Linked DNA regions of Elephas maximus indicus. The protein of the gene in region 1 binds, or shares a complex with, the protein of each later gene. Links are inferred from orthologs where the notes say so. Each region holds a gene or a part of one and is shown in the gene's direction. Other genes may lie near its edges.

What was found.
Region 2: the proteins of PTPN22 (region 1) and PSTPIP1 are in contact, whole or in part, in a crystal structure (PDB 7AAM), measured with the Homo sapiens proteins. The link is inferred for Elephas maximus indicus from reciprocal best matches to the Homo sapiens genes PTPN22 and PSTPIP1. Residues at the interface, in NP_057051.4 of Homo sapiens: Ser793, Lys794, Pro795, Gly797, Pro798, Arg799, Asn800, Pro801, Pro802, Trp805, Asn806; in NP_003969.2 of Homo sapiens: Thr225, Arg228, Asn229, Trp232, Asn236, Ser239, Met240, Cys242, Val243, Asp246.
Region 3: the proteins of PTPN22 (region 1) and CSK are in contact, whole or in part, in an NMR structure (PDB 1JEG), measured with the Mus musculus proteins. The link is inferred for Elephas maximus indicus from reciprocal best matches to the Homo sapiens genes PTPN22 and CSK. Residues at the interface, in NP_033005.1 of Mus musculus: Pro614, Pro615, Leu616, Pro617, Glu618, Arg619, Thr620, Glu622, Ser623, Phe624, Ile625, Val626, Val627; in NP_001291690.1 of Mus musculus: Phe20, Thr23, Gln26, Ala40, Val41, Thr42, Lys43, Asp44, Asn46, Trp47, Ile59, Pro61, Asn63, Tyr64.

Annotation. Positions count from the first base shown.
Region 1 is NC_064821.1:166,860,083-166,868,116, forward strand, and holds the start of PTPN22 (tyrosine-protein phosphatase non-receptor type 22), read left to right. Parts: upstream 1-4,999; 5' UTR 5,000-5,088; coding exon 5,089-5,175; intron 5,176-8,034. UniProt on the Homo sapiens protein: Acts as a negative regulator of T-cell receptor (TCR) signaling by direct dephosphorylation of the Src family kinases LCK and FYN, ITAMs of the TCRz/CD3 complex, as well as ZAP70, VAV, VCP and other key signaling molecules.
Region 2 is NC_064831.1:66,556,588-66,564,556, reverse strand, and holds the start of PSTPIP1 (proline-serine-threonine phosphatase-interacting protein 1), read left to right. Parts: upstream 1-4,918; 5' UTR 4,919-5,375; coding exon 5,376-5,411; intron 5,412-7,969. UniProt on the Homo sapiens protein: Involved in regulation of the actin cytoskeleton. May regulate WAS actin-bundling activity. Bridges the interaction between ABL1 and PTPN18 leading to ABL1 dephosphorylation.
Region 3 is NC_064831.1:64,865,950-64,873,776, forward strand, and holds the start of CSK (tyrosine-protein kinase CSK), read left to right. Parts: upstream 1-4,776; 5' UTR 4,777-4,953; intron 4,954-7,204; exon of another isoform or gene 7,205-7,827. UniProt on the Homo sapiens protein: Non-receptor tyrosine-protein kinase that plays an important role in the regulation of cell growth, differentiation, migration and immune response.

The DNA of each region.
Region 1 (8,034 bases):
CAAGCTTCATTAGAGATATTTTATTATTCTGTGTTAGTTTATCAAAGGAGAAACACTGGCCAATTCTGGAGATAAAGAATGTCATTTCTCTCTGGCCATTACAGCCCTCTGGGGCTGGACCCTGCACCTTAGTCACAGCACCATACCTTGGTTTACTCCTTTTACAATAATAGCCTTGCTGCTTGGGCAGAAGCACTCAGGGAAGTACTCTTTGCCAGGTTCCTGGGTCTCCCTGCAGGTAAGATCCATCTGCTTCTAGCACAGTGGAAGTACCTAGCCAGAGACTAGAAGCATAGACTGTGCCAGGCAAGAGATCTGAAATAATTAATGTAGTGAGTTACCGAGTCAGTGAATCTCTCACCAAAGCCTAGCCATATTATGTAATATATTTGATCACAACAGACTTTTTCTAAGTATCTTAGGGATGCTCAAGACCAGGTTAAACACTGTGGGTTATGCTAAAACATAGAAGATACTATCATTGCCTTTGATAAGCTTACAGGAGGCAATTTTGTCTACTTTGGAATGTATAATGGGTCTCATGATTACATAAACTTATGAGATGCAAGGAACATGTAAAAAAAAAATTAGAAAGCTTCCAGATCTGAATATAAAGATTTATATTGAAGGGATTCAGAATAAGAGAAGGTCATGGTGAAATTGTTATAAGAGGATTTCTGAAGAAAGGGGTAACCGGCCTTTATGAAAGAAGGTTATTTATCTTGATGAAAATTAAAGGAAACAGTGAGAAGTAGTAAAAGAAGTGGTAGTGTAATCAACAAGATTTGTGGGTGATGTGGTTGGAGAGGTTGGATCAGGACATTTGATTAGAAGTGGCTTGGTAACAAGTTGAGGTATCTGGGCTTGTTCCCATAGACTATGAGCAGGCATTTTGGTTTTTTAACATTAAAGTGGAGTTTTAAGAAGTTTCATCCAGCCCTGGTTACAAGGAGACACTGAAATGGGAGAGAGAGAGGTACGAGACCAACTAAGAGCTTATGGCTGCAGGAATCCAGATGCGAAAATGGGAATGGTTAACACAGAAATGGAAAAGGTAGGTTGAAACTAAAAGACATGGAGGAGAAAGAACCAATAGACTTTGGTGGCTGTTATAAATTGAATTGTATCCCCCCAAAATATGTGTTTTAAATCCTAACTCCTATACCTGTGGTTATAATGCCATATGGGAATGGAGTTTCTTTGTTGTATTAATGAGACAGTATTAGTGTAGAGTGTGTTGTAAGTCAATCTCTTTTGAGATATGAAAGAGCAGGTTAAGCAAGTGAGCAGAGATGGGAGAACATAGATGCCATGCCACATGAAGGTCACCAAGGAGTCAAGAAACGGAAGCTGAAAAGAAACAAAGACCTTCCCCTCAAGCCGACAGAGACAAAGAGGCTTCCCCTAGAGCCTCCTCGCCTGTGGGAAAATTAATTTCTGTGTGTTAAAGGTACCCACTTGTGGTATTTCTGTTATAGCAGCAGCAGGGCAGTGACCAACAGGATGTTTACAAAGGACAGAGTGTTAAAAAAAAAAAAAAAAAAAAAAGACTGAGTGTTTCACAGATAGTAGTACACACACACACACACACACAAAAATAGCCCACATCAAATCAATGACCCTGGGATGCAGAGAAAGGCAAGAGGAGTGAAAGTAAAGCTAAGACTGAGTAAATGGCTTCTCCAGGGTAACCCACGCCTCTTCACAGAGAGAAAGATGTTCTGAGAAATAATGTCTTTCCTACTGAGCAGTTTATCTTGCCCTAATAATATCCCCTGATAGTCTCTGATTAAAGTTTATGGTCCTCTAATTCCTGATCTCCATGATATTGATGTTTCTCCCTTCAACTGGCACATTCTCTTCTTGTTGGAGCAGGTGACAGTATGATCAACACCCGTTATCATCTTCCTTCTGAACAAACACCAGAGACGTGTGAGGCAGCTGTGAGTGGTCCCTAATTCTTCACTCACTCCGCTTCAGGCGCTTATTCAGAATTTTACTTCCTACTAGAGCTCACCTTTGATGGTTCTGATACGGTGTCTTTTACTGCATGGAATTGTTGTGTTCACTTAGGGTTTACGCCAGACTGGTTTAAATGTTTCATTGTAAATTCTTAAATTATGTATTTGCCAACCTTTGGTGCATGACTTGTTCCCCTCCCCAACTCTTGATTGTCCCACAAGATACAAATGAGTCAACACAATCTGTTCCTATTGCCCTCCAGTATCTGTAGAAGGAAGTGTGAAAGATTAAGCAGTAGGCTTAGATTTGTTCAAAATAAAACTGAAGTGTTTTTGTTTTCTCCTTCAGGTTGTTTTTTGCTCACTTGAGTGGTCTGCTCAGGAAATGGCCTTGCAGCTAAGTGAGTTTTTGAGGTTTAGTTATTTCACGATGTTTCTATGCCTTTTGGTTTTACAATGGAACAGACTCCTAAGTCTTGCTGCTTGCTTTTAAAAAAGAGATACAGTTCGGCAAAGACTCTATTTTCAGATCCTGAGCTTTGGGGTAAAAGAGCGATGGATGACATCTAAGCAATTTTTTCTTTCTTATCTCATATCTATCTCTACCTCTTCCCTCCCTAAGAAGAGACGATAACATTGAGATTGTTCTGAAATAGGGGCTTGAGGAAAATTGATTTAAATTTCATCTTATGAAGCATCTGTAATTATTTAAGTTCTGGTTTTGATGGAAGTGAGGACATTCTAAGGGGACACAGAGATTATGAAACTGTATCTTTTATTTGTTCAAAACAGAATCATTTCCTTCTAGGGTTATACTTTGCTACTTGGCAAACAAGAAAGTTAGTTTGGAATATTTTTATTTTTATCAATAATTAAGTCTATTTCTTTAGTTCTGAAATGCTTTATTAACTGGTTTAGTGTGTATGTTTTTTAACCATATTCTGGCTTGTTCACTATTGTATGCCCAGCCCCTAACACAGTGTTTAGAATTTAGTGGATACTCAATAAGAATGAATTAATAGTTTTTTTTTTTTGCATGTGTGTATGTTTTAATTTAAAAAGTGGTATAAGAAAGTTTTTAAAAATCACCCTTAATCCCAGCACACACATACAATTGATTTTTTGCAACTTTTAGTTTCTGTTTAACTATGTACAGTATATACTTTTACATGATTATAGTTATTGTGAGCTTTAAATTTTGTATTTTTTAAAATGTAAACCTTTCCCTCTATTTTATATGTTTAAAAATAACCAGATCAAACACTGCATTGTTTAGAGCAGAGAGATACTCTCCTTTAAGGCTAGTGGGGTTAATTTGAGAAATGTGATTCTATTCCAACAAATATTGCTGAAGCATTATGGTCCACTTTAATTTACATGGCTCAGTATTGAAATTCTTTATTTGGAATATTGGCTTCAAGTTGCCTATAACCACGCTATATCAATGACCTTTCTTTTTCCTATTGTAGGGCTCAATAAAATGAAAGCAGCTTAATAGCGTCCAGAATCAGGACTTCCTAAAGGAAATTTGAACAATGTTGCAAAACAGAAAGGATTGCTAATATTTACATAAAAAAAAAGAAAATACATAAGGAAGGCCTAATGATACATTTCCCAGTTTTCTTCAGGATGTTGTTAACATATTCTTTAGTGAACTTCTACACCCACACAGAAATGATGTGCTCGTTTCTGGGTGTTCTCACACCGATTTAGACACTCTTGGGGAGCCCTGGTAGTGCAGAGGTTAAGAGCTCAGGCTGCTCATCAAACGATGGACAGTTCAAATCCACCAGCTGCTCCTTGGAAACCCTGTGGGGCTGTTCTACTCTGTCCTATAGGGTCGCTATGAGTCCAAAGTCGACTTGACCGCACACAACGACAACAATGTTGTTAACATATTCTTTATTGAACTTCTACCCGAAACAGAGATGATGTGCTGATTTCTGGGTGCTCTCGCACTAATTTAGACACTCTTGGACAGATCTGTACCCACTGAAAAAAGAACTTAGGCAAACTGAGATGTAGAAGCCTTTTCTGGAACAACTTGCCTGTCAGACAGGGCTGAATTGCCACATGCACGGCATGACCTCCTGAAACAAAGGCCTTTTCCAAGACACTGGCTGCAGAGTAGAAATGTCTTCTCTAGAAACAGGCTTTCCACCGTGAAAGTTATATTGCTGCCAGCAAGGTGATTGTTTTTACTTTTTTTCTGTTCCCTCAGTTAAATCAGCCTTACTTTTTTTTTTACTAACGGGGGGATAGTATGCCATTGCTGGGTCAGTGCTCCTGCTGGGGGTCACTGTGCTCTGAATCCTTATTGGCCAATACTTTCAGTCTTTACATCCAAGTGAAGCTCATAAGGCTCCTGGGGGTGGGGGAGGTCCTGAAATCCACACTTCCCTTAATGGAGGTCAGCACTTCCCCAGTCCTGCGAGAGGTATAGACTGTCAGAAGCAGCTGACTTTGCTTCATTCCAAAGAGAGTTTGAGGTCTATTGGGGGAACTTAAGAATAAATACTCTGAAAAAAATGCCTTCTCTGATGAACAGAAGTTTGCCCCTGATCATATTGGCAAGAAACCTTTGGAGAAAGACTCCCCGCAAAAGTTGAGTGACTCTAAAAGTGTCCGTCTCCCTTTCTGGGCCTAACTGAAGCAGAGTTCATTTGGAAATGGAGGATATAGAAGGTGACACCAGGGCCTTTGTGCTCACTGGTGAGATGGAGAGAGGCAGAAACCATGAGACCTCTAACTCTGCCTTTTCTCTGTGAAGCAAGAAGAGAGGTGAATTTTGCTTAAATGTAGACTGGAACAGTCTCAGAGCTAAGCAGACCACACATTATTTTCTGGTTAGTCTCTTGTTTGTTAAAAACTTGAATTGTAACCAGGCTCCTTTGTTGAAAACGAAGGCGCTAGGGCCCTGCCGTGAGATGATGGTTTTGTTGTGTGACCACAGAGGCTGGTTACGCACTAATTTCCTCTAGGGCTTGTGATGAAGTCAGTAAACCACAGCCTTCAGCATACTCTGCTCAGGAGGCGGCAGTGGCTTCTCGGTGGTGTCTTAGCCATGACACACATTTGACATGCCCTCCTTCAACCTATTCATAGATTGTCTCTCTTGCTCTGCAGCATGGACCAAAGAGAAATTCTGCAGAAGTTCCTGCATGAGAACCAAGATAAGAAAATTAAGAAAGAGGAGTTTGCCAATGAATTTCTGGTGAGTCCTGTGTGTAACACTCTCATGGTAGTTACATAGGCTATTTAACTGACTCTGATGGTCCAACTCTCCTAGACCAAATTGCTCTTGGATTAAAATGAATATTAGACCTCAGACAGGCAGGAGGGAAGGAAGGCAACCTAAACGTTTGACTTCCCTCAGCAGTTTGTATGTATGTTAGGTGTTCTCTCCAAAATACTGACTTTGATATTTTGTTTGCTATTTCTTGACACTTGACTAGGAATCCTACAGAAGACATACACAGTTCCAGTGGAATAAATACTAATATAATTGAACATACAGAGTTCCCCAGGTATCTAAGTTGTGGTTAATGATTCAAATTACTAATTTTATTTTATATTAAGAGGAAAGAGACCAAGACTAGCTTTTCATGGCTCAATGAACATTTTTATCCTCCCCTTGGGATTCCATTTGGATGACATAATTTTTTTTTAAAAGCACCAAAATTACCTGCTGCCTCATCACTTTTCTTTTTGGTGAAGAAAAAAATATTAGAACATACGTTTTTGCAATAACAGGGTTTCCTTAACCTTCTTTTGCTTGGAGATGTGAAAGGCTAGGATGGAGAGTAGGAGCAAGTGAAGGGAATGGAGAGAAATATTGAGTACGAGGCAGCCTAGGGTCAACTGGATTTGATTACCCAGAGCAACACTGCATCTCCTTTGAGGGAACTGTGGTTATTGCTGCAGTGATCAGCTGGATAGGCCTTATTGATCCTATAACCAAGTACATCAGATCAAATAGGGTATCTGCGAGTACCTATCATGTATTTTGGAATACTTCCAGCTGGTGTTTCAGAGCTGTAATAACTTCAGACCTTCGATCTTCAGCTGTGAAGAAGAAGTGGAAAAAACAAGGGAACCGAAGCACAAAACCTAGAATTAAATCATGATTCTTTTGCCAACTAAATTCTAGACTATTTGACGTGTTCCTTAATCTTCCCGAGCCTTTGTTTCAAATTTATAAAATGAGGATACTAGTTTAGTCTTTCCTACCCTCACAGGATTGTTGTGAAGATTTAACAGCAATAATAATTAAATATGGCCATTTATTCAGTGGTGTTTATAGAGCACCTACTATGTACCAAGCACAGTGCTAGGCACTGAGGATACAGCAGTCAACAAAACAAACAAAACTCTTTGTCCTCATGGAGCTAGCTCTCTGGTCCACCACAGTAATGTAAAAACACTCTGTAAAGACTTGAGTGATTAGCTATTATGATTGAGTGGTTAATATTACGACAGAGACCAGTTCAACTCAGATAATATTGTGGTATCATGAAAAAAGTGCTCTCAGTGCCATGGTCCGGTCAGTCTGAAGCCTGTCTGAAGTCAGTCTGAAGGGAGGGAGGTAAGGAGGACATCCTAGCCTATGTGTCTCTTTAGAAACGTGCCTGCCTCTGGCCTATAACTCCTAAGCCAAATTCACCCAAAGCAGAGAGGTAAAAAGTGAGGGGCAACTTCTGTTTTATTCTGGTTGTGTTTTTTTTAAATAATGTAAACTATATCCCTGATATTTTACCTTTTCTTATCTCCAAAAACTAAACAGAATCCAATGCTGTTGAGTTGATTCTGACTCGAAGCGACCCTATAGGACAGAGTAGAACTGCCCCATAGCGTTTCCAAGGCTGTAAATCTTTATGGAAGAAGACTGCCACATCTTTTGCCTGTGGAATGGCTGGTGGGTTTGAACTGCCAACCTTTTGGCTAGCATCTGAGTGCTTTAACCACTGCACCACCAGGGCTCCTTTCTTATCTCGGGTCATTATAATCTCTCACCCAAATTATGACAGCTGCCTCGTAATTGGTTTCTCTGCCTCTGGTCTTGCCCCACTTCAATCAATTTTCCATTCAACACCCAAGTGATCTTTTAATAATACAAATCTGATCATTTTTTCCCTAGTTTGTCTTTTTTTTGTTTAAAATTGTGAAATGTACTAACACATTTAGAGAAGTACGTAAAAGAAGTACAGTATATTGACTAATTATAAAGCAACTACCACCCAAGACAATAAACAGAGCATTGCCAGACCCTAGAAGACCTCTGTATATCCCCTTCCCATCAGGTCCCTACCCCCACCCTGCCCTGCCCAAGGGGTAATCACTATCCTGACTTTTATATTAATCATTTCCTTGCTTTTCTAGGTCCTGATTTTAAGGACCTTGTTTGGGGGTGGTGATTAAGTGGAACCTCACTGTTCACTGACTCATGTCCTCCAGTGGAAAAAGAGTGTTGCTCTCAGCCCCACCTAAAGGTTAATCTGAGATACCAGAGGGTGTAGCTTTGGGGAAGTGAGGGAGTGTTGAATGGGGCCAGGTTGCTTGCTTGAGCAAGGTAAATACTGCCATTAAATTGGAGGGTTTTCCACCTGGTCACATCCCACATCCCACCTTAATCCCTTAGTATATTCTCCCAGAATTTGATGATTCTGGAGCTTGTGAACTGACTCTGTGACTCTGGGCTACTGCTAGTCTGAAGGATGGTGCCTTTGTGCAAATTACCAAATGGCTCCTCTGCTTCCAGGTGGTGGCCCTGTGACCTTTTCTACCCCCTGCCTTCAGGTCCGTGGCTTAGGTTTCAGTCCCCACTCTCCCCACACCTCTTGGCCGGGTATCTCTATTCAGAGCACAACATTCATAACTAGATGTGGCAGTCCTGTGTGACAGCTGAAGCCAATAGCATGCTTAGGTCTTCTTGTATCAAGACTAAATTTAATCTCTCTAGATGAAGCTGCCACAGAATGCCCCTGTAAGGTATTCATGCATTCATTCAAATACAGGAATACGATACAATGTTCCTGCTTTGTGGAGCATGTCTTCTAACTGGAGAGGCAACATT
Region 2 (7,969 bases), on another chromosome or scaffold:
GACCTTCTGGTTTTATGTTTCTTATAGTCAAAGGCATCCTCAACTGATGCAAATTTCACAGTGAACTCAGAAGCGCTTGTGCCAAGGTTGGACTGTCATCCCAATAGCACCACCAATCTCAACAGCCTCCCTGGGCTCAGTTTTCCCATATACCTGGGGTGAGAGGTTCCACAGGTAGAACTAGAGAAAGGAAGAATGAAACCCTTTGCAACAGGGGTAAGGGTAAATCCTTTGCAAGAGGGTAAAAAGATAACTGTGCTGGTTAAGATCATGTGATTTGGTGTCAGGCAGACTTGGGTCCAAAACCCAGCTCTCCTGCTTACTGTCCATGAGGCCTTGAATGAGTTGCATAGACCCTTTTTTTTTAATTGTATTGTGCTTTAAGTGAAAGTTTACAGTGCAAATTAGTTTCTCATTCAAACATTTATACACAAATTGTTTTGTGACATTGGTTGCAATGTGTCAGCATTCTCCCCCTTTCCCTTTATACCCGGGTTCCCCATGCCCATTTGTCCAGTTTTCAAGCCCCTTCCTGCTTTCTTGCCTTCACTTTTGGGCAGGCATTCCCCATTTGGTCTCACACACTAAATTGAACTAAGAAACACTATCTAGTGCTGTTATAACAGAAATACCACAAGTGGGTGGCTTTAACAAAGACAAATTTATTCTCTCACAGTCTAAAAAAACACTATCTAGTGCTGTTATAACAGAAATACCACAAGTGGGTGTCTTTAACAAAGACAAATTTATTCTCTCACAGTCTAGGAGGCTAAAAATTCGAGTTCAGGGTGCCAGCTCCAGGGAATGGCCTTCTCTTTCTGTGGGGGAAGGTCCTTGTCATCCATCTTCTCTGGTCAAGGAGCTTCTCAGTGCAGGAACCCTGGGTCCAAAATACGCACTTTGCTCCTGGCACTACTTTCTTGGTGGTATCAGGTCCCCATGTCTCTCTCCTCGCTTCTCTCTTTTATACCTCAAAAGAGATTGGCTTAAGATACAACGTAATCTTGTAGATTGAGTACTGCCTCATTAACATCGTAGAGGTGGGATTTACAACACACAGGAAAATCACATCAGATGACAAAACAGTGGACAATCACACAATACTGGGAATCATGGCCTAGTCAAGCTGACACAATTTTGGGGGGACACAATTCAATCCGTAACACTTGCGTCTTTGGTTTTCTTCATTCTCCTTTGCTCCAAATGGGATGGGATCAATGGATGTATCTTAGATGGTCGCTCACAAGTTTTTAAGACCCCAGATGCTACTCACCAAAGTAGGATGTAGAGCATTTTCTTTATGAACTATGTTATGTCAATTGATCCAGATATCCCCTGAGACCGTGGCCCCCGGCCCTCAGCCCCAGTAACTCAGTCTCTCAATGTGTTTGGATGTGTCTAGGGAGCTTCTAGGACTTTGCCTTAGTCAAGCTGTATTGACTTTCCCTATATTGTGTATTGTCTTTCCCTTTATCAAAGTTGACTCTTGTCTACTATCTAGTTAGCAATTTCCCCTCCCTACCCTTTCTCTCCCTCGTAACCATCAAAGTTTGTTTTTTTCTGCGTGTAAACCTTTCTTTGAGTTTTATAATAGTGGTCTCATACACTATTTGTCCTTTTGTGATTTACTTATTTCACTCAACATAATGCCCTCCAGATTCATCCACGTTATGAAATGTTTTGCAGATTCATCACTGTTCTTTATCGTTGCATAGTATTCTATTGTATATGCACCATAGTTTGTTTATCCATTCAACTGTTGAAGGACACTTAGGTTGTTTCCATTTTTTTGCTATTGTGAATAATGTTGCAATGAACATGGGGGTGTGCATATGTCTAATTGTGTGATGGCTCTTATTTCTTTAGGATATATTCCTAGTAATGGGATTGCTGGATCATACGGTATTTCTATTTCTAACTTTTTAAGGAGGCACCATATTGTTTTCCATAGTGGTTATATCATTTTACATTCCCACTAGCAGTGCATAAGAGTTCCACATAGACTCTTTAATGACTAGTTTTCTCACCTGTAAAATGAGAATAATAATAGTATGTATCCCATAGAAGCGGGTGAGGGTGTGTGAAAAGCTTAATGATGCACTCCAAAGCTGGAATTAGCTGTTCTAGTCACAAAGCCTTGGGACCAGCAGAAGGGTGTGGGGGGAGGGAAGGAGGAAGACTTCCTTTTAGCAGAGAACTTTGGAGTTCCTCCCATCACTTCCTTCCCCAATTTCTCCAGCCCACAGCCAGCATGGCCATCTGCCCAGGGCTGCCCTGGGTGGACCAGAGCAATTGGGAAAGGAAGACCTCCTGTGTGGTAGACTTGAGCTGGGCTTGAGAGAGGGGAGAACTTGTCCAGGTAAAGAAGTTCAAGGAAGGCATGCCAGAAGGGAGGCACAAAAAATGCAGCAACATTTTGGAGGTAGGAGTGGGAAGGGGGTTTTGGTGAGAGGGAGGAAGCCTGTTTGGAGTAGAAATTTGTCATAAAAGGTTAAGGGAGCAACACCTGGAGAGTCATGGAAGGGAGCCTGGTAGTCAAGTTTTCTGCCAATAAGAGGGTACAAAAGGGCTCTAGTCTGCTTCCAGAACTAGAGACATCACCCCATTTGACAGATGGAAACACTGAGCCCAGGGATGCTGAGTCAGTGGCTTCACAGAGTTAGTGTCACCCAGTGCAGTAACTCATGGTGTAATACCCACCCCCACCGCCATGGATTTCTTCCTGTGCCAGACCATACAAAATCCCTAGTAACGTTTTTTGTACTAATGCTCCTAGTAAATCATAATTCTTGTATATCACTCCTTTTCCTTTAATTACTACTTCATTTTCAAAAAAAGTTACGATACAGGTTTACAGATGCTAATTACAACAATGTTGTAGCTAAAACACCAGGAAATTTGGCCAAATCAGCAACTAGAAAAATACCAGCAGCAATGAAAAAACCAGCACGTGCTTGTAGCATGTGCAGATGAAACCATGTGACTCGAAGGATCATTGTAATTGGGTAATAATGACCGCTCTGACCAAAAGACATTAGAAGGTTCAAAAAGTGAATAATTAGCATAGAGCTTTAGCCTTGTAGGTATATTGATACATGTAAGCTGGGCTTACAAAAAATGTTTTTGCTGTTATAGCTAACTACAGGGATATTGTTATAAAAAATAACAAATTTCTGTTGAGACGCAGCACAAAAATTTTATAAACAGTTATTTTGGTGTCACCTCCTCTGACAGTGTCACTGGGTGTGGTCCATGCCACCTGGGCCCCCCTAATGTTGCCACTGGGCTGAGTCAGTGATGTTAGAGGTGGTGAAACCACTGGATTGAGAAATACAGCCATAGTATATAGCCTTGGGGGTTTAAGGTGATATTTTGCCCCATTAGCTGTCTTCAGCTGAAAGCAACAGAAAACCTGACTTGAGGAGCCTTCACCGCTAAAGACTTTCTTTCATTAGCTCAAACCAGAAGGAGTCTGGAGGTGGGGCGGCGGGGGGCTTCTAGGAGCAGTGCAGCAGCGCCAGCCCCCCTGCTCTGCAATTCTCCCCCACGTCTTCTCTCTCTCTCTTTGAATTAAAATTACTTATGTTCAGAAAAACACTTGAGGAATCATGTGTTCTCTCCCCGGTGGCTGTTTCAGAAGCCTGGGTGGGCCCATCTCCCTAAACCCCAGGCACGCATAACTGGCACTTGGGAGCTTGGCGAGCCTGCTTCTGCTTCAGCTCTCATCTATCTTATCATTCCCGCCAATTGTAAGGGAGATACCAGCAAGGTAGTGATTTGTGGATGGTCCCTGACTCATCCCTTTTTGCCAGGCTGCCCTGCTGGCATCTTCTGCTGAGTGGGCACCTGGCTCCTCAGGGCTCTAGCCCAGGGCTCTTTCCAAGGTGGTACCAGACAGTGCCTCCAACACCTGCCCAACCGAACCAGAAATTCCACAAGTGTTCTCAATGCCATCCCCTTTCCAAAGGCTGGGGGTGGCAGATGGGGAAACTGAGACTCAGAGAGTTGGAGGGTTTATTGAAGTCCCTCAGCCACTGAAGTGTGTAGTGCCCAAGCCAAACAAAACCCGGAGCCTCAACCTCAGTTTTCAAACTCCCGCCTCCGTCTCTCTCTCAGTTCAACCATGTTCACGAAGCCTTAAGGCTCCACCTCCAGAGTGGGCCTCCCTGGCCCACAGTGTCTAATCTGGAGACTTGGGGGCAGTGCCTGTGAGGTCGCAGGCTGTTCTTCCTTGGCTAGATGCCCACTCATCCCCACCTCTATGTTCCTACAGCCCCCCAGAGTACAGCTGTGTCTGCCCTGAGAATGTGAGCTCCTTGAGGGCAGGACCTGGTCTGGGGCACAGAGCAAAGTTTGATGAAGGATAGATGTCCAGGCCTAGATGACACCCTCCTGAATAGATTCCTGCTGAGGAGTAAAGAGTCTAGCATTTTTGTGCTGGCCTGGCAGGGAGTGGATCTGGCTGGACTGGTGGGAGACAGAACCTGAAGTTCCTGGGCTCTTCTTGCCCACGCCTTTAGTGGGCCCCAAGCTCTAAAAGGAGTCCTGGTGGAGCAATGGTTAAGCACTCAGCTGCTAACCAAAAGATTCGCAGTTTGAATTCACCCAGAGGCTCCTCGGGAGAAAGACCTGGCAATCTGCCCCTGTAAAGATTAGAAAACCCTCTGGGGCAGCTCTACTCTGTCACTTGGGTTTACTATGAGTTAAAAATTGATTCAATGGCACCTAACAACAACAACAAGCTCCCTAAATGTATGGCTTCTGAGAATGTCCCTGCCCCTTCTCAGGTTGAGACACCCCAGCAGGGGGCCGCCACTAAAGGGCAAGCAGAGGCAAGCAGGGAGAGTGGCAGGTGGCAGGCAGGGCTGCATAGAAGAGCACAGCGGCTCCACTTCCTGTGAATGAAGGCCCTAGTGCCTGCCCCAGGGGAGGTTGCACAAACCTTCCTGTGCAGGCCTCAGGCTGCCTGCCTCCCTGGCCTGAGTCCCAGCCTGCCTCTCTCAAGAGCCGCTGCCTCCTGCCTGGGGCTGGCATCTCCTCTCCCTGCCCTGGAACTGGGCTGTGTTCTCTATCACCCGCTGGGCTGGAGAGGGGCTGGGCCGGACACCGGGGCCCGCCCTCTCATCACTGGGCATTGCTCCTTCCTCATTTTGCTGCGGATTCTAGCCCCAAACAAAACAGGTTGAGCCCTTTCCCTCCCTTCAGCAGTTCTGGCTTGCAGCTGCCTTCTGAGCTGCTGCAGACGGTGACAGCCGGGGAGAGGGGCTTGGGCCAGCCCTGCCGACACTGGGCACTGGACAGTGCTCCTTGCTCTTGGCCCTCAGACGGCCCTGCCTGGGGCAGGAGAGCTTGATTTGCCACAGTAGAGCCCAAGGATGATGCCCCAGCTGCACTTCAGAGATGCCTTTTGGGTGAGTGAAGGCTGGGGGCGCGGGGGAGGGCATTGAGAGAGTGGAATAGGCTCTGGGGAAGCTGAAATTTTCCATGGAAGTTGGAGGGGGATATAGCTCCCAGATGCAGGCTGTCTCATAAAAGTAGTGATTGATATACAACTTTGTCATGGAGGTGGTCTAGGCTACTTTCCCTTCTGAGCTGGAAGGCGAAGGGGGTACTGACTTCCCTGCAACTTCACCACCATGGGCAAGGGATGTCCTCTGCACTTCCAGGACTGGTTTTTCCTCTGAGAGACCCCTCCCCCACAGCAGGACCTTTTTAGGAGAGTCTAGCATGCGTTTTTTTTTTTTTTAGCATGCAGGTGGGGGCTTGAGGAGGCCATGTGGGGTGGAGGAGAGGGTGTCAGGTTCGGGCACCAGAAAAACTTGGTTCATACCTTGGCTCTGCAATTGTAGGTGTCTGAGCCCCACCTTCCCCATCTATACAGTGAAGATTGAAAAAAAAAAATTTTTTTTTTTTTTTTTAGTGAAGATAGATAATAATAATAAATATATCAAATGAACGGGAGGATTAAACAAGGTGAACTAATGTAATAATGCCCCCAGAATGTTGCTGGCACACCAAATGGTAATTCTCCTTCCCTCACCCAACACCTTTTCGTTTGGAGACCTTGGGGGTCTTTCAAGGTAGCAGGATGGGCTGGGCAATTCCTTGCTCGCAGTATTAAATCCAGCACAGGCCTGAAGAGTCCTCCTTCCCTCCCTGGGAAATAGCTGGCTGGCTCATGGAGGTAAAATGGCTTGGCCCAGGTCACAGGGCTAGTAAGCCCAGTTTGGATCACAGATCCCCTCAGCTTTTTTCCAGCTGTCCTTTAACCATCCCCTCTGCTCCTTAAGCCTGGCTGTCCCCAGGGTGCTCCTTCCAACCCTGCAGAGGGCTCTCTGGTCTTGTTGTGTTCAGCAGGCTCAGCCCCAGCCAACAGCCTGGCCCTCCCCAGGTCCTTTCTTGGGGCCAGGAGCCAGAGAGATGAGAGCTAATAATGAGCCAGGCCTGCCTTCCTTCTCTTTTGGACCACACTCTGCTCAGGGCCGGTGGCCATTGTGTAAGTGGCCTGATCCCACCTTCGTTAACTGCACAGTGGGCAAAAGCTTAGGCTGAGGAGGGCACTCTGCCCCTCTCGGGGCCTCTGTTGCCCCTTCTTCACAAAGAGGGGCTGGGACCAGCCCAGAGGAGCTGGTTGGGCTCATTTTGAACACCAGGGTGTTCTCTGCTGGACTGGCAGCTGGAGCCCCAAGTTGGGGGCTGGGGGTGGGGGCAGAGAGTCACCACGTCATTGCCCTGACTTGGAGTCTAAAGTTAGGGGAAGGGGTAGAGCCTGGAAATGCAGGCCGCCAGCCCAGGCCAGGCTAGGAGACCCTCACTGTTCTGTCCCTGCCCAGAGACCCTGGGCTCATCTTCCCTGGGATAGAACTGAGGCAAGGAGCAGCCCCCATGACAGGATCTGGGTGGGAGGAAGGAGGGGGAGGGGACTTAAAGAAACAGGGTGTGGCAGCAGCAGAAGCAAAAGCAGCAGCAGTGGCGAGAACCCAGCCCATCAGCGGTGGGTTCCTCCTGAGCAGTGGCATCCCATCCATGCTGAGTGCTTACCCCATGTCCGAGTGGCTGTGTACCTCGTGGCCTCCAGGTACCTCTCTCCTCCATGGCTGCTCCCTGGGCTGGGTGAGGCTGAAGCTTTCCCAGGGAAGGCCAGACGGAGAAGGGGAGAGAAGAGGCCAGCAAGAGCCTCTCAGATTCAGCCTGGGCAGACGCCCCAAAGTCACTGTCAGTATCACTTGCCCCAAGAGCTCTGAATTCTAACAGCCCTGGTGATGTTCAGCCCAGCCCAGCCATGACGACAACTAACATTCACTGAGCACCAACGATGTGTCAGGCGCTGTTCTCAGGCCTGTGTATGTATTAATTCATCTAACCTGCACGGCCAGGCAGTGGTGCTTTAGCAGTAGGATTCTCACCTTCCATTGGGAGACCGGGGTTCAAATCCTGGCCAATGAACCTCAAGTACAATGAACCGTCTGTCAGTGGAGCCTTGTGTGCTGCTATGATGCTGAACAGGTTTCAGAGGAGCTTCCAAACTAAGTCCAAACTAAGATGAACTAGGAAGAAAGGCCTGGCAAGCTACTTCCAAAAATAAGCCAATGAAAGCCCTATTGATCACAACTATCTGGTCTGAAACCAGGGGATAGATTACCCAATAAGCAAGGTACACACAGGCTTACTTGTGTTTACTTACTAATCTCCAGTGCACAATTTCACATAGGCTTCACCACAGCAAAGATCTGGTGAAAAAGAGGTGAAATTGTGCACTACAGATTGGCGAGTAAGCACAAGCAAGCCCGTGCATACCTTGTTTGTTGGGTAATCTGTCCCTTGGTAATTATGGGGCTGTTGAAGGACTGGACAGTGTTTCGTTCCATAGTGCATTGGGTTGCCATGAGTCAAGGGCTGACTCTATGGGAGCTAAAAACAATCCTCACAGCAACCCAGGAAGTAGATGCTATTGTCATCCCTGTTGTTC
Region 3 (7,827 bases), on another chromosome or scaffold:
ATAGTGGTTAAAGCGCTCACCTGCTAAACGAAAGGTCAGCAGTTCAAACTCACCAGCTACTCTATAGGAGAAATCCGTAAAGATTTCAGCCTTGGGTACTCTATGGGGCAGTTCTATTCTGTCCTATAGGGTCGTTATGAGTCGGAATCGACTTGACAACAGCAGGTTTGGTTTGGGTTATTTTTTGGCTTTAAGAAGACTTCAGGGGATATTTTCGGTATAAAGTTTGAAGATTATCTCAGGGCAATAGTTTCAGGGGTTCATCCAACCTTCATGGCTCCAGGAAGTCTGGAGTCCATGAGACTTTGAAATTCTGTTCTGTATTTTCCCCCTTTTGATCAGGATTCTTCTGTGGAATCTTTGATCAAAATGTGCACTAATGGTAGCTGGGCACCATCTAGTTCTTCTGGTCTCATGGCAAAGGAGGCAGTTGTTCATGGAGGCAAATAGCCACACATTCCATATCCTCCTTCTATTCCTGACTCCCTTTTTCCTCTGCTGTTCCAGGTGAATAGAAACCAATTGTTGTGCCTTGGATGGCCATCTGCAAGCTTTTAAGACCCTATGGCACCATGCAACAAACTAGGAGGTAGAACAGAAGCACTAAACACATTAGGCCAATTAACTGGGATATCCCATGAAACCGTGACACTAAACCTTCAAACCAAGGAACCAAATCCCATGAGGTTTTTGGTTGTACTTAAGCAGCCTCAGCAGCTACTCTTATTTATGTATTTATTTATTTATTTTTGGGTCATCGTTGTAAATAAATCTATCACACAAATTTTGCCAATTCAGCTTTTTGTAGGTGTACAACTTAATGACAACAATTATAATAGTCAGCTCTGCACCCCTACCCTTAATCAACGTGATTTTTTCATCACTATTGACCCCCATTTCACCTCCCTTCTGCCCATGGTAACCACTAATAAACTTTGTTCTCTATACATTTGCGTTTTCTTGTCTTTTTGTGTAAGTGAGGCCATAGAATATTTGTCATTTGTGATTGACTTATTTCACTCAGCATAATGTCTTCCAGCTCCATCCATATTGCAGCATATATCAAGACTTCATTTTTTCTTCCTGGTAAGTAGAATTGGTATATTTTTACCGTGTGTATTTTCAAAAAAAAAAAAATTTTTTTTATTTTCAACAAGAAAAATAATAAAATAATTTTGTTTTAATTTGATCTAATCTCTAAGAAATAATGCAAATTAAAAAAAAATGCTTCCGATTATGTCACCCCCCTGCTTAAAGTCCTTCAACAGCTTCCTGCACTGCTCACGTAATCAAACCCAAACTCACCTAAAAAAATCTCTGGAGTGCAGGCTCTGGATCTGGCCCCTGTCGGCTTCCTTACTTCCTCTCTTCCATCCTCCCCTGCTATCTGAGGCCACCCTCTGGCTGTCCTTCAAGCCCCAGGGCCCTTTCCTAGCTCAGGTCTTTAACCTTTGCCAGGAGCCCCGGTGGCACAGTGGTTAAGTGTCTGCTCAGCTGCCAACCGAAAGGTCAGCAGATCTAACCCACTAGCCACTCCAAGGGAGAAAGATGTGGCAGTTTGCTTCCATAAGGATCACAGCCTAGGAAACCTTATGGGACAGTTCTACTCTACCCCATAGGGTCACTATGAGTTGGAATCAACTCGATGACAATGGGTTTGGGTTGCCTATGCCTGAAGCGCCCTCCTTCACTCACCCCCAAAAAAAAAGGCTGGCTCAATCCTTTCCTGGTCTGAAAGCAGAGCTCAAAGCCTCACCTCTCCATAGTCCCTCACATGCTCACTTCCTTCATACTACAGGGCCAAATGACCCTGTTTATTTATTTATTCCCTAGGGTAGGAACCATGGAAGTCTTGTTCACTCCATCTCCAGCATCTGGGACAGTGCCTAGCACTTGGTAAACCTGTTGCTCCAGAGTTGAATCTGACTCAGAGTGACCCTATAGGACACAGGAGAACTGCCCAATACGGTTTCTAAGGAGCAGTTGGTGGATTCGAACTGCCGACCTTTTGGTTAGCAGCTGAGCTCTTAACCACTGTACCACCAGGGTTCCAGCACTTAGTAGGTGCTCAGTAAATTTTTGTTGAATGAATAAATGATGAGAAACGAGGTTGGAGGCTAATTGTCTGACTCTCCCACTAAAAGAAAGGGAGCTCTGCGGGACGAGGCCATGACTGATTTGCTCCTGGTTTTATCCCCATGCCTGGAGTTCAGAGAGGTTAAAATTTTTAGTTCACACTGCTGTGGAGAGTTGGAGCCAGGATTCAAATGCAGGTCTATTTGACTCCAAAGTCCACACTCTTGGCCACAGCACATGCAAGGAAAAGAGTCAAGTGTGTTTGGGGCCAGGGGATGGAGATGGGTGAGTGACAAAGCCCGTGTGGAACAGGGCATTTTCCACAAATCCCAACAGTCCTTTCTTTCCCATCCTGGTAGCTAAACCAGAGGAGGGGAAGGAGATCTCAATTCTCCCTTCTAGAAACTTTTGCAGAGCTGCGGAAGAGCTTTCCTGTCCATGGCTGAGAGAAACTCCACCCACCCCAACCAGCCCCCCATTGTCATTCCGTCTAGACCTCAACCTCAAAGGAAAGAAAGGGAAACCAACCTGCTAAGCTCTCTCCCCACCCTCCCATCCCCAGGCCTTTATCTTGCTGAATCTGCACCATCTCTCCAAAGAGAGGTATGTGAGAGAGGTACACTTTAAGCCTGGTCTGACAGAAGAGGAAACTGAGCTCAGAGACCTTAGGTAACTAGTCCAAGGTCACACGGCTAGTAGGTGGCTGAGCCAAGATTTAATCCTGAGATTTGAACCCAAAACTCATACTTTTTTCCATTATACCACAACTATGCCAGACTAACTGGATGTCTCCTCAAAGCACAAAGGTGTTTCTACTGCTTTCCTCCCCATAGAGGCGGCCCCTTGCTGAGATGCTGGCCCCAGGATGCAGTGGGTCAGAGGGACAACCCGTAGTGTATCTGAGGGGCACACACCGTTCCTACTCCAGGCATTCAAGACTCTTTGCAATCTGCAGATACTGTTCTCCCCATTTCTCTGTCCCAAAGGACCTTTTACTGTCCCTCACACTCTTTCTGCCCCTTCATACTTATTTCAGATTCCAAGAATTTGCCAGCAAGCTTCACCGCTTCCCCCTACTCCCAGGAATGCCCCCTCTTCTCTGCCAACCCAAGCCTGACCCTTTCTTTATGGCCCAGTCCCTAGGGGTGCCCTGACTCCTCCTACCTACACTAGCATCTCTGGTGTCCCCATCGCTGCGCTCCCCCCACCACCTCTCACCCCAGCACAAGCTGTCTGGTCTGTGGCTCTGAGCAGATCACCTGCCTGCTTCTCATTAACAGTGATATATAATAACAGCCAACACTTAACTGAAGGCTCACCATGTTCCAGCAACTGCACACTAAGCACTTGAAACGCATTAACTCATTTCCTCCCCCAGAAAGCCCTAAGAAGTTGCTGCTATTATTTTCCCCATTTGATGAAACGGGGAAACTGAAATCACAGAGACTTTAAGCAGCTTGCCTAAGGTCACACAGCTACTAACAACTTCCTCATTGCTCCAGGCTGAAAATAAAGTCTCAGAAAGTCCCACAAGACTCTCTGTAATCTCTCTTGCCCCTGCTGCCCCAAGACCTAGTCTCCCACTACCGCCTTTAACCCACACTGCAAGCTGCAGCCATACGGAGCTATTTATATTTCCCAGAAGCCACCACTCTCCCACCTCTCCCTGCCTTTGTCCACACCGTTCTCTCTGCCTGGCGTCCTAGGCTCAGTGAAGTCCCCCATTAGCCCTCCCTTCTTGTCTGCTTCCTGTGGACCTTGTACATCACCTCCCCACTTTTATCAATTAGTTCTTTGCTATTGTCTTTTGGCCTGTCAGTCTCTCCATCCTTGACAGCAGTGAAGGGGTCTTACTAGACCCCTGAAAATGGCCTGGCAGGTTGTTGGCGCCAGGAAGCGTTCGTGAACGTGTGAACGAATGCTTGCTGCTGCGAATGAGGCCCACTCTGCGCGGGCTGACTCCAGAAGGATCCAGGCCCAGCCTCCACCGCTTCTACGCTGGTGGAGCTAGGCCCGGAGAAGGTTCAGAACTTGTTCCAAGGCCGGGTGGTCGGCCCTCTGGGAGGGGCCTTTAGGCGCCTCCAACGCAGACAGGCAGGTGGGGGCAGGGCGTGGGCGCAGACACACCCCCCGCAGTGCCCCCGGCGCCCGATAGGGGGCGCCGCCTCGCCAGCCCACGCCCCGCCGCGCACCGGGCAGGCCCCCTCGCGCAGGCGCGCTGCCGCGGGCGGAGGATCCGGGCCGCGCTTCCTCTCGCCAGGCCTGCGAGCTTCCTCCCAGCGGAGCCCTGGGCGAGCCGAGCTTGGGCGCCGCCACCGAGACCGTCGCCGCCCTCCCGCTCCCGCCCCACCCCGCGCCCTGCCCTGGGGTCCTGCTGGGGTGGAGCCCGAGCGGGCCGATCTCCCGGCCGCGCCACCGTCGGGGCCGTCCCCTGGTCAGCCGTCCCTCCCGCCTAGCCAGCCTGTGGCCGCCTGAGGCTCCGGGGCGTGGAGCGCGCGCGGGCAGCCCCCGCGGCCCCCGATCGAGTGTCCGGGACGGCCCCCGGCAGCGGGCGCGACGTTCCAAAACCGAGCCGTGGCGGCGGCGTTCGGAAGCGGAACTCTGCTGGGGCCGCGCCGGCTACATTGTTTCCTCCCCCCGACTCCCTCCCGCCCCCCTTCCCCCGCCTTTCTTCCCTCTCCGCCCCGGGCCGCGCGGCCATCCCCCTGCCTCGGTGTGGCCGTCCCTCCTCCCCCTCTTTCCGCACCTATACTTCTTTGCATCGCACCCCCCGGGGGTCCCTGCGCCCCTTCCCTCCCCTCTGGCCGCATGGACCGTCCCGCAGGCCGCTGATGCCGCCCGCGGCGAGGTGGCTCGGACTTCAGTGCCCCGAGAGAGGTGAGTGCCCTGCAGCCCAGGAGAAGGCCAGCGTCTGTGTCCCCCAGAGGAAGGAGGAGGAGGGAGGTCGCACGTCCTGCTTCTCTTTACACCGCCGTCGTGACCACTCCCATCCCCCACTGCCTTACTCCCTCCTTCCCGAGTTCGAACTCTCCCGGGAGTCACTGTCAGAACCGGATTAGGAGGGGAATACTCGAAGGAGGCACTGCTCAGCAAGCCCCGCAGACTTGCCCCAGGGCACCCTGAGGTCCCCTTGTGTGAAGCTCAAGAGTGAGGGGTGGCTGGAGCCTGGAGGGAGAGGGCCGACGTGGTCCAGGGCCTGGAGAATGGGCTGCATTTCTGGAAGTGCCCCTTCCCTGCCCAGACCTCCCTGCAAGTGTCTTGGCCTGTCTGGGTCTGACCTTTCCCTCACTGAGGCCCTGCTAGCTCCCCTGAGCCCTGCCAGAGGCCCAGGTCCTGGGACTGAACCTGTTTCTCTCAGCCTCCCAGATGACTGTGTCTAAGCCAAGGGACCTCTGACCCTTGGGTGGGGAAACTGGGCAGGCCTCACTCCTGGATGAAGGTGACACCATGCCCCTACCTCCTGACAGCCTGGTCAGCCCATTCTCTGCAGGGCCCAGGCCAGGTGTCAGGAAGGGGCGTGTCCAGCCACCAGATCTTTGGAGCTTAACTGGGGGTTCAGTTCCCCGCCCATTTTGTAGACCAGGGAACTGAGGCTCAAAGGGGGAGGTTGCTCCCCCAGGACTCTTGAAGAGTTAGGCCAGCTGTCGTCTCATCCACTGTTCTGTGGAGCTGGGCTGCTGGGGTTGGAGGGGAGTCAGGCAGATGCCTTCATGCATCAGGGATGCAGGTCCCCACCCTGGCCCAGGAGGGACCATGTGGGGTGAGCATGTGCTCCCTGGCAGAGGCCCAAGAGAAGGGAGAGGGCTTCCGGCCCCAGTTCTGCCTGGGTCTGGGCTCAGGCACCATCAGCACTGCCCATGGGATTTCCCCTTGGTGTCTGAGGCTGGGTCCCACTGGTGGGATGCAGGGGATGCAGGTGGGCACCTGTGTGGCAAGGCGAGAATGCCTGGATTCTAGCCCCTAGCCCTGAACTGCAGCAGCCTAGTGGTTAGTCCAGACCCAGCTCTCCCTCTCCCCCTTCCTCCTCAGCCCAGCTGGCACAGGAGCTTGTTCAAGTTCAGAATATGAATGGGACCAGGATGGAGAATGTGGGAGCCCTGTGACCACTGGCAGTGCCCTACACCCTTGGCATGGGAGCATTGTCAGGGTAGGGACACCTGCAGGGTCTGTTCCAAGCTCCCCCCACACCCTGGGGGTTCCAGTGTCTGCCGTGGTGTATCTGCAGCAGGCACAAGGCAGAGGCAACGAGAGTGAGGTTAGGAGTGTGGACTGATCCTCTTGCTCCGAGAGGGAGGTGGGTTGTCCCCTGGAAGATGCTGAGCTGTGTCTGGGCCTCCTTAGGACTGCTGACAGTTTTGTCCTGCTCAAGACCCCTGCCCTTGGTTTAGAGTTTTTTCCTGTTGCCCTGATGTGCTCAGTAGAGAGGCCCCAGCTGTCCTGGGCCTGTGAGGCTCCGCTTACCCGACTTCCTTTTCCAGCCTGAGGGGCTGGGGCTGGGGCTGGATGTGGTTGGGCGCTTTTTTACCTACTCTGGGCTGTGAGGATGAGGCCCAGGGACCCAAGGCCTTTGTGGAAAGGAATCTAGCTTTAGGCTAGCATGTGTGCAGGGAAGTGTTTTTTCTAGGTGAACTTGGTGCCTTCTGCCCGCTCTGAAGTGGCTGCTGTTGTCTCTGCATTGGGTTGAGGACAAGAAAGATGTCCTCCAGCACCACTGCAAAGGGCACTGGGCCCAGAGAGGCTGAGCCACCACAGTGTCCCACAGCAAGTGTTGGGGAAGGGGCAGAGTTCTAGCTTTCTCCAAACTAGCTCCGGCAGGGGCTGAGGCCTGAGATCCCACAGTGACGTGGTTGCCCCAAAAGTCGCCAGGTGGCCTGACCTGTCAGCGTGTCCTGATTGGAAGGACGGCCTGGATCCAGTTCTGGGTTCCATCTTTTGAGGGATTTTGAAGGCTTGACACCCAGTTCCCGAAGAACAGAGTATTTGGCCTGGGAAAGAGGAGGTAGGGAGCGAGCACTGGTCATCTCCTTTCTTGTCTGGGGGCTGTTCTGCGTCCCAGAGGCTGTCCCACTGCAGAAGAGGCAGGCGTCATTTGTCGAGGTCCAAAACACCAAGGCCAGAGCGGGAGGGCAGGCAGGTCCCAGGGAAGCAGGTTCACTACAAGAAAACTACTCATGGACTAATATCCTGAAGTGAGAAAGTGACAAAATAGCACTACAGAAAGTTTAGAAAACAAAAATCATTCCCTCTTTCTTCACCTGACGGGGTGACTGCTAGCATTTTGAAGTTTCCTGCCAGTCTCTTCCTGACTCTATTCCTTCCTCTGGTGTGTGCCCTAACACCAGTTTTCATTTAATGCTGTGCCCATAGACACATTCTCATGTTGTTCCCCCGTCTGACTTTCCCTCTAAAAACCTACAGAATATTCCAGATAGTTCTGCCTCAGCAACTTCAGCCAAACCCTGTTGCTGAGCTTGTGTGTTGTTTCCATCTGTCGCTGTTGAGGTAGTTGTTACTGCAGGTCCCAAAAGCAGCCAGGGGTATTGGAGAGAGTGGGCAAGTAGACATGGTGTCCAGGCCCAGCATTCCATTTAGTCCAGGGAGGAGAGACCTTGGGCAAGTCACTGGCCTCTGAGCTGGAATTCTTTTATATGTATGAGGGATGGTGATATTTGCTTCAGAGGGAGAGTGAGCTAATTAACCAGGTACTAGAAAGTACCTGGCACAGCCCCTGGCCTCTAGTATCCCTTTGTA